Bombyx mori: one gene and its partner. The protein of the gene in region 2 interacts with the protein of the main gene of each other region in a pairwise test. Links are inferred from orthologs where the notes say so. Each region holds a gene or a part of one and is shown on either strand. Other genes may lie near its edges.

Region 1 (3,996 bases), on a different chromosome or scaffold from region 2:
TAGAGCTCATTGGAAGAGCGAGATAGCTGTCGTTCTGTCGCAGACTCTTCGGCAAAAGATTGAGACTATAAATTAATGTTTCAAGGCAGATACCTGCAGGATGCATTTACGTTGTGATATCCACGGAAACCCCCACTATCAGCAGATCGGCAAGTCCCACATACCCCGCGCGCCCTCGTAGGAGGTTCGCCCACCGGCCCGAAAAAAAAACCAGGGAAGCTGGTAACCGTTTAACATCGAAGCAGTTTAGGATACGAAGTCACCTCTACGAATTGACTCTTACGTAACGTAACTTTATTGAAACTTCTGAGAAAGACCTCTAAAAAAGATATTTTGTGAGCTCCTCCGAGATCATATATTGCAAAAGGCTGGTCAGCGCTTTATAGATTAGAGGCTCAAAATAAATGTTGTTTCGATTTCAAATCGCGAGATGAACGTTCACATTCGGCGTTGCGTTGTGGTGTCTTTGTCCTATTAGTGAGCAAACGAGGTCACAGCTCATCTGGTGATAACAAGATATAAATTTAGATGGTTACCGCCACCCACCCACATTTTACACACGAGTCGACCTCATTTGCAAAGCGCTATGCAACAAAAGCGGCACGAGGAGGTCCGAAGACCAAGGTCAGAAAGAAAGAAAGAAGAAGAAAGAAACGCAGAAACGAAAGAAGTGACGCTTATTCGGCGTACGCGGGCTGTTGTTGATATGTTAATGATGGTTAATTGAAAAATCTCTAAGCAGTGCTTTGCATTTCCCTGGATAGCAGCATCATTCTACCGGGCGGGCCGATACACCCATTTCTATTTCCTACGAATTAAAATAAAAACGCATTTAGTAAGTACCTACATTGTGCTGAAAACCTTATAGCTAGGTTGATAGCTTCAAGTCCCTTATTATTATTATTAAGTATGTAAGTAGTGCAATAAATGGTGGCATCAATAATGCCAACAACCAGGTGTATTTCAAAAGGACTGCCATACATTAGCACATCTGAACAAGCTTCATGGCATGTTGTCTTGAGAAAACAGCGGTACACGCCTAGTCTTAAATATTTGATGGCTTTATTGAGATACACCGACAATACAATGACCGACTATACTACATGTGCCTTAAAAGGGTTTTTTAACAGTTATGAGAAAGCAGTTAAAAACAACAACCATTGTTAAGAATGAATTAAAGGCTATCAAAATTTTTTTGTGAAACGTTTTTATTCGTAGACGTCAAAGATTTAATGATTTCAACATTTATGTCTTTATGATCCGAATTTCAACCTTAATCTAACCACATTGTGTGTACATAACTTTAGCTCAAATGAATTTAAAAAAAATGACCTAAATATGTAGCGCAAGGTATTCGGAACAATGTGAATTATTTGAACAAACAATGTGTCAGAGCGAACACGGACGCAGCTATGACGCAGAACGGAGACAAACTTCACGACTAAATTAATACCGTTATCGAACAAACTTCTGAACTAAACTATTATAATCGGACATTGGAGTACACTTCGCACGACTTGCGGCCGTATATTATTATGTTAATCATTTCCATACTAATTGTAAACGGAGAGTTCTTTTATCGTGCCCACTTCTTGAAGATAAGATAAAAATGTCATTTGTGTCTCTTCGTTGCAACTATAGAGCCGTTTTTTAGTTATCGTTTTTTCTCGTTATTTTAACATTTTTGTGATGTAAAAAGTGGAAATGAAAAGTGATGAGGTGTTTGTATGCAGTTTTTTTGAGAAATGTTAGATTCACGTACGGTTGCAGTGATGCATAACGCTAGGCCTCTCGATGTTGCTGAAACAGGTGAACGTCACAGAAATCGGTCATCATCGTGGACGTCAAGGCGATGGCAAAATGGTCTTTTCAGACAGGAACCAAGATATTCACTGCAATGTCAGGTAAAGGAATAAAAGGTTTTTTTTAAATTATATTCTAATAATATTTCTATGAGTTTTAGATGTATATAATGAATCTTGGATAGAAGGCTTATTTAATTTAGAAGTCAATACGAAATTAGACCCCCGAAAAACATTATTTTAAATATGAAATGATGAACCAGTTTCATAATGATAAAATCATGACCGATAGCAAAACACGTGATTAGATGATCGCGGCACGTATGTTTAATTTTAACGGGGATTTCCTACCAGAACAATATTAAGCTTATATTTGGAAAGTATTTAAAATTTTCCTTATTAGTTAAGATTACGATTCTATGCAGACAATATTTGATATAAAAAATATATTTTTCCAAAATTTGTTTTATACGAAACTGCGTGGAACGGAGTGTAATGCGACAACAATACTTGCGTTTCATGATTTGGTGTCATGAAAAGTAGACATTTCAAGCATTACAAAGGATAGGAAATACAAAAGATTCCATATGTGAAGGTGAAATGTTCGTTTAAAAAAATGTTTCTTTTTGTTAACGAGTTGTCATGTTTGTTTGACAGTCACATCTGTCAAAAGGTGTGATTTAATTACCGTAGCAATTTAGTTTTATTGTTTCGCGTTGGATGTATTTCTTAACAATTTAGATTATATTGTTGTTAAATTTTTTTTACAATACATAACCAATATCAGTACCAATGTGAACAAAGTGTTAGACAAGTTGTGAAATAAATGTGAATAGTAATTAGAAAACGTGTCAACATTTCAACAACTGTTGTTTGCGACTTTTACGTTGCTTAAGGAATGTGAAGTATTTCATATTCCTTTTTATAATCATTAAATCTTCACATGGGTGATGGCTTGGCAGTCGGATACGCGTGTAAGTTTATAAAAAAAATATAACATTCGGTATTTAAATTAAAAATATCGTGGTAACATAAAATGTCCTTGTAAGTCTAAAGTTAAATGCGTTTTATTTTGCGGAACGGTCTTAATTTATTCAGTTTTTGTAAATGTACGGACGAGGATTATTATCAATTTTCAGGGTACACTCTAAAATGTGTAGGCGTCGAGGTTAGGCGCTAATAGGATTTGTTGTCTGGGTCTTCAAATCCGACCGATATTAACAAAAAATAATTCAAAAAGAGACTCATATATTCGTCCTCACGAGATAGGTAATTATGAATATGTATGATTACATTCAATCACTTCATCTCAAATGGGAGAACACAAATTGTATACTCTGTATGCTTAGAAACAAATATGGTTTTGTGCTATTTTTTCGTCAGGTGTCCTCTCTACTACTAGATTTTGCTGGTTAATACATCATATTTTCCACATCAGTTGTTAAGCCAAACAGCTTTTCAACATAGTATTATCAAATTGATTTCTTGTGGAAACAAAATATTAGTTGACCCATCTCCTGTAATGTTAATCAGTAAGAGTTATTTAATAATTTAAATAAAACCCTGAGATTCAATTTAAATATGTTTTTTTTAATCCATCTACTAGTTCTAAATGTTAGTGCTAGAATTAACAATCATCATACAAGCAAATAGAAGAAAATCACAACTCTGTTATATATTAGGTCAGATACACCTAAAATACTAAAATTCATTTTTTTTTCTGTATGTACTGTACATTGAACAGTTATGCTTTTGTTATGTTATAAAATAATACACAGAGATGTTACAAGGTCATACAATATTATAACTACAATCAATAATGCATAATTAATAATTCAATTTCCATAAGTGATCACATCAAAGTTTAATTAATATTTGTTTAAAATATAAACAATACAATTTGTTGCTTAGCTAACTATACTGCACAAGAAACAAAAAAATGGGAAATATTTTTTAAAGATATTGTCAGACATGTGGTGGTTCCATGAACGGGTATATAATATGTTCTTAACCATAATATAATATGATCGTTGTTGATGTCTCCAGTCATCGTTCACGTCGAATCCGTTGCTTGCGACGAAGGGCTCGACGAGTAAATTAACCCTCGGGCACAACCCACTAAGTTTCTCACCGGATCTTCTCAGTGGGTCACATTTCCGATCCAGTGGTAGATTCTGTGAAGCTTCAATAAATT
Region 2 (3,500 bases):
CCATCAATGAAGGTAATTTTCATACAACATCTACATACATACTATTAAGAAAGTCAAACGATTTCTGATCAATTTAATACACATTATACACCGACACACAACGGTAGTTTTTAGTTATCTTCTTCTTTCTTTTACCCCACTAGGTGGGGTCGGTACAGCGAATTTTTTTTTATATGTTTGAGAGATTAATGGTGGCCCGGAGGCCTTTCCAGTTTTACCAGGGCAGGCAGGTGAGCAAGGGCTCAGCCAGGAGGGGTGAAATTTGCTAACAGCTGCCCGAGCGTCTCCAAAGGAGCGATTTTTTCTCTTAAATTCTCTTTTATCAACCGTCATCTCAACACTCCTCTCTCTCATGTCGTCATTCACACACTCCATCCATGTCTTCTTCGGTCGACCTTTTCCCCCTCTACCTTGCACTACCATTTCCATACATCTCCTAGTCACACGCATCTCCTCTCTACGAGTACGCATCACATATCCATACCACGCTCACCGTCCGCTTTATAATTTGTCAATCACCGGGGCTACTTTCACACTTCCTCTGATATACTCATTCCTTATCTTTTAACTATATAAATTAAAAGTAACTTTTTTTTTATTTACAAAAAATTTCGTATTCGTTTACAGGTAACATCGATGCTAGCGTTGATCGCCGTGATACTGGCCAGTGTCTGGGGCGCGACAAAAGTCAGGGACGGCCTAGACCTCACCGACATAGTGCCAGAAAATACTGACGAACACCAATTCTTGTACCGACAAGAGAAGTACTTTGGCTTCTACAACATGTACGCGGTCACAAAGGGCGACTTCGAGTACCCGACCAATCAGAGGCTGCTGTACGAATACCACGACCAGTTTGTCAGGATACCTAACATCATAAAGAACGACAACGGCGGCCTCACGAAATTCTGGTTGACTCTGTTCCGCGACTGGCTCTTAGATCTGCAAGCGGTGTTCGATAAAGAAGTGGAAAGCGGCTGCATCACTCAGGAGTACTGGTGCAAAAACGCAAGCGACGAGGCCATTTTAGCATACAAACTCATGGTGCAGACGGGTCACGTGGACACTCCCATCGACAAGTCACTGATCACCGCGGACAGAGCGAGCGGCCATAGACTTGTGGGCAAAGACGGCATCATCAACACGGACGCGTTCTACAACTACTTGTCGGCTTGGGCCACAAACGACGCGTTGGCCTACGGAGCGTCACAAGGCAATCTGAAACCGCAACCGAAAAAATGGACGCACTCTTCTAGCGACATGGACCTGGAAATACCCAAGTCGTCTCCCTTGATTTATACCCAGCTGCCCTTTTACCTGGCAGGGTTAAGTGACACGGAGAGTATAAAGGCTTTGATAACGTCCGTCAGGGAGCTGTGCTTGAAGTTCGAAGCGAAGGGATTGTCCAATTTCCCGTCTGGTATTCCTTTCCTGTTTTGGGAGCAGTATCTGTATCTGAGAACGTCGTTATCGCTGGCCCTCGCTTGCGCCCTGTCTGCTGTGTTTGTGGTAAGTTCAGGAAAATTTTATGCTATTATCTAAAACGTATGCTCCTGATAAAATCATTATTAAACAAATGATTCGCGATTTATATCCGCAATGAAGTACGCGCTGGGTCAATGCTCTGATTTGACGCGAGAGCGGTCAGTCGGCGGAAGTACGAACTTGTTAATACAACAAATGCTTAGCTAACAAAAATAAGTATTTCATTTTTAATAATAATAAACAAATAAATAACTGGGAACAAATCACACACGGTCATCCGGCCCCAAATTAGGATTCCCTGTGTTGTTTAAATATATGCATATATAGATAATACACACCCAAACAATGGGTAAACAAAACTGTTTGCCCGATGTGGGAATCGAACCTAAGGCCCTCAGCGCAAATAGTCAGAGCCGCAAACTTCTGCACCACCGAGTCAGTTAGTGATGTGTTAAATCAGCGGTCCGGGAACTTTTTAAATTATTACCCCAAAATATTTATTTCGAAAAGAAAACAATAACTAAAAATTTAAAGATTCTAAAGAAGTTTCACTTCAATATATACTTTTTAATCACAAAAGTTTTATTTTTACCCCCCAAAATTTCATTTTACCCCATTTGGGCTTAAATAATTACTTTGTCGAAATTATCATAATGATCTAAATTAAAAGCCTACGATTATTTTCAGGCTGTAATGGTATTGCTGCTGAACGTGTGGGCGGCGGTGCTCGTGACGCTCGCGCTGGCTGTGCTGGTGCTCCAGTTGCTCGGCACGATGGCGCTACTTGGCATTAAGCTGTCCGCCATACCGGCAGTCCTACTTGTACTGGCCATCGGTCGAGGAGTGCATTTCACCGTCCATTTGTGCTTGGTGAGTTCATTGACCTTTATATTTGCGTATGACCATTTATGTTATTTTTAATTTTATTAGCTTCAGACGTATGTATGTATGTTTGTAACGGAATCTTTGAACATGATTTTGACCCTCTTCAAAACGTCGGATTAACTCGAAATTTGGTATACTTAAATTCCATATTTTAAAAAAACTGAAAAAGAGTGAAAAATTGATATTCACTTAAAAAATGAAAAATAAATAATAGTTTAAAAAAACGTGTAAAAAGTTTGTAAAAAAGCGTGGGCCACTTTTCAGGATATTATCAAAATAACCCTTCTACTCATATTTGTTCATAAATTATTTATAACTACTTGTATAATGCACCCCACGCTTTTTTACAATAAAATCTTTTTTTCATACACTATTTTTAATTTAAATTTAATAAAATTTATTTTCTATCTTTTAGTTGAATTTTCTATAAAAGCGTATTTTGTTAGTTTTTTTCAAACTATTATTTAGTGATAGTTAGTAATTAATATTAGAGTTCCGAGAAAATTGACCGATGATAAATAAGCTATTATTAAAATTTACAAAAAAATATAATTATATTGTATTTTTGTCGACGTTAAATGAATTGAACGTGTTCTTTGACAGGGCTTCGTAACGTCGATCGGTTGCAAGCGGCGTCGGGCCTCGCTCGCGCTGGAGTCTGTGCTGGCGCCGGTGGTGCACGGCGCCGTCGCGGCCGCGCTGGCCGCGTCGATGCTGGCGACCAGCGAGTTCGGTTTCGTCGCCAGACTGTTCCTGAAATTACTACTGGCTCTCATCGTTCTGGGATTCGTCGACGGTCTACTGTTCTTCCCGGTTGTACTGGCGATACTCGGACCGGCCGCGGAGGTGTGTAACTTGAAAAACATATACAGAGTGTGATTTTTTTTTTACTAAGTTAACAATATTTTTTTTAAATATACAGAATTCTTAATTTTGGTATTCGTATACGTTACTGCTTACATGCATAAATCTGTATTTCAATAAGTTCATCTTTACCTATATGACTATCATCAGTAATCAATAAAATATGGAAAAATAATAAGTATTTTGAAGGAGAAAGACGTTTAATTATTACTTTAAAATGACAAGTATTGTAACGGATATGATATTTTTCCCATAAGTTTCCCATT

The links. The genes of interacting proteins can lie anywhere in the genome.
Region 1: the proteins of protein patched (region 2) and E3 ubiquitin-protein ligase Nedd-4 interact in a two-hybrid assay, tested with the Drosophila melanogaster proteins (2 studies listed by BioGRID). The link is inferred for Bombyx mori from reciprocal best matches to the Drosophila melanogaster genes ptc and Nedd4.

Annotation. Positions count from the first base shown.
Region 1 is NC_085125.1:1,948,421-1,952,416, forward strand, and holds the start of E3 ubiquitin-protein ligase Nedd-4, read left to right. Parts: upstream 1-1,196; 5' UTR 1,197-1,745; coding exon 1,746-1,904; intron 1,905-2,205; exon of another isoform or gene 2,206-2,752; coding exon of another isoform or gene 2,753-2,776; intron 2,777-3,996. UniProt on the Drosophila melanogaster protein: Essential E3 ubiquitin-protein ligase which accepts ubiquitin from an E2 ubiquitin-conjugating enzyme in the form of a thioester and then directly transfers the ubiquitin to targeted substrates.
Region 2 is NC_085111.1:13,390,099-13,393,598, reverse strand, and holds part of protein patched, read left to right. Parts: coding exon 1-12; intron 13-627; coding exon 628-1,509; intron 1,510-2,172; coding exon 2,173-2,355; intron 2,356-2,973; coding exon 2,974-3,216; intron 3,217-3,500. UniProt on the Drosophila melanogaster protein: Segmentation polarity protein. Acts as a receptor for the hedgehog protein (hh). Associates with the smoothened protein (SMO) to transduce the hedgehog signal leading to the activation of wingless, decapentaplegic and patched itself.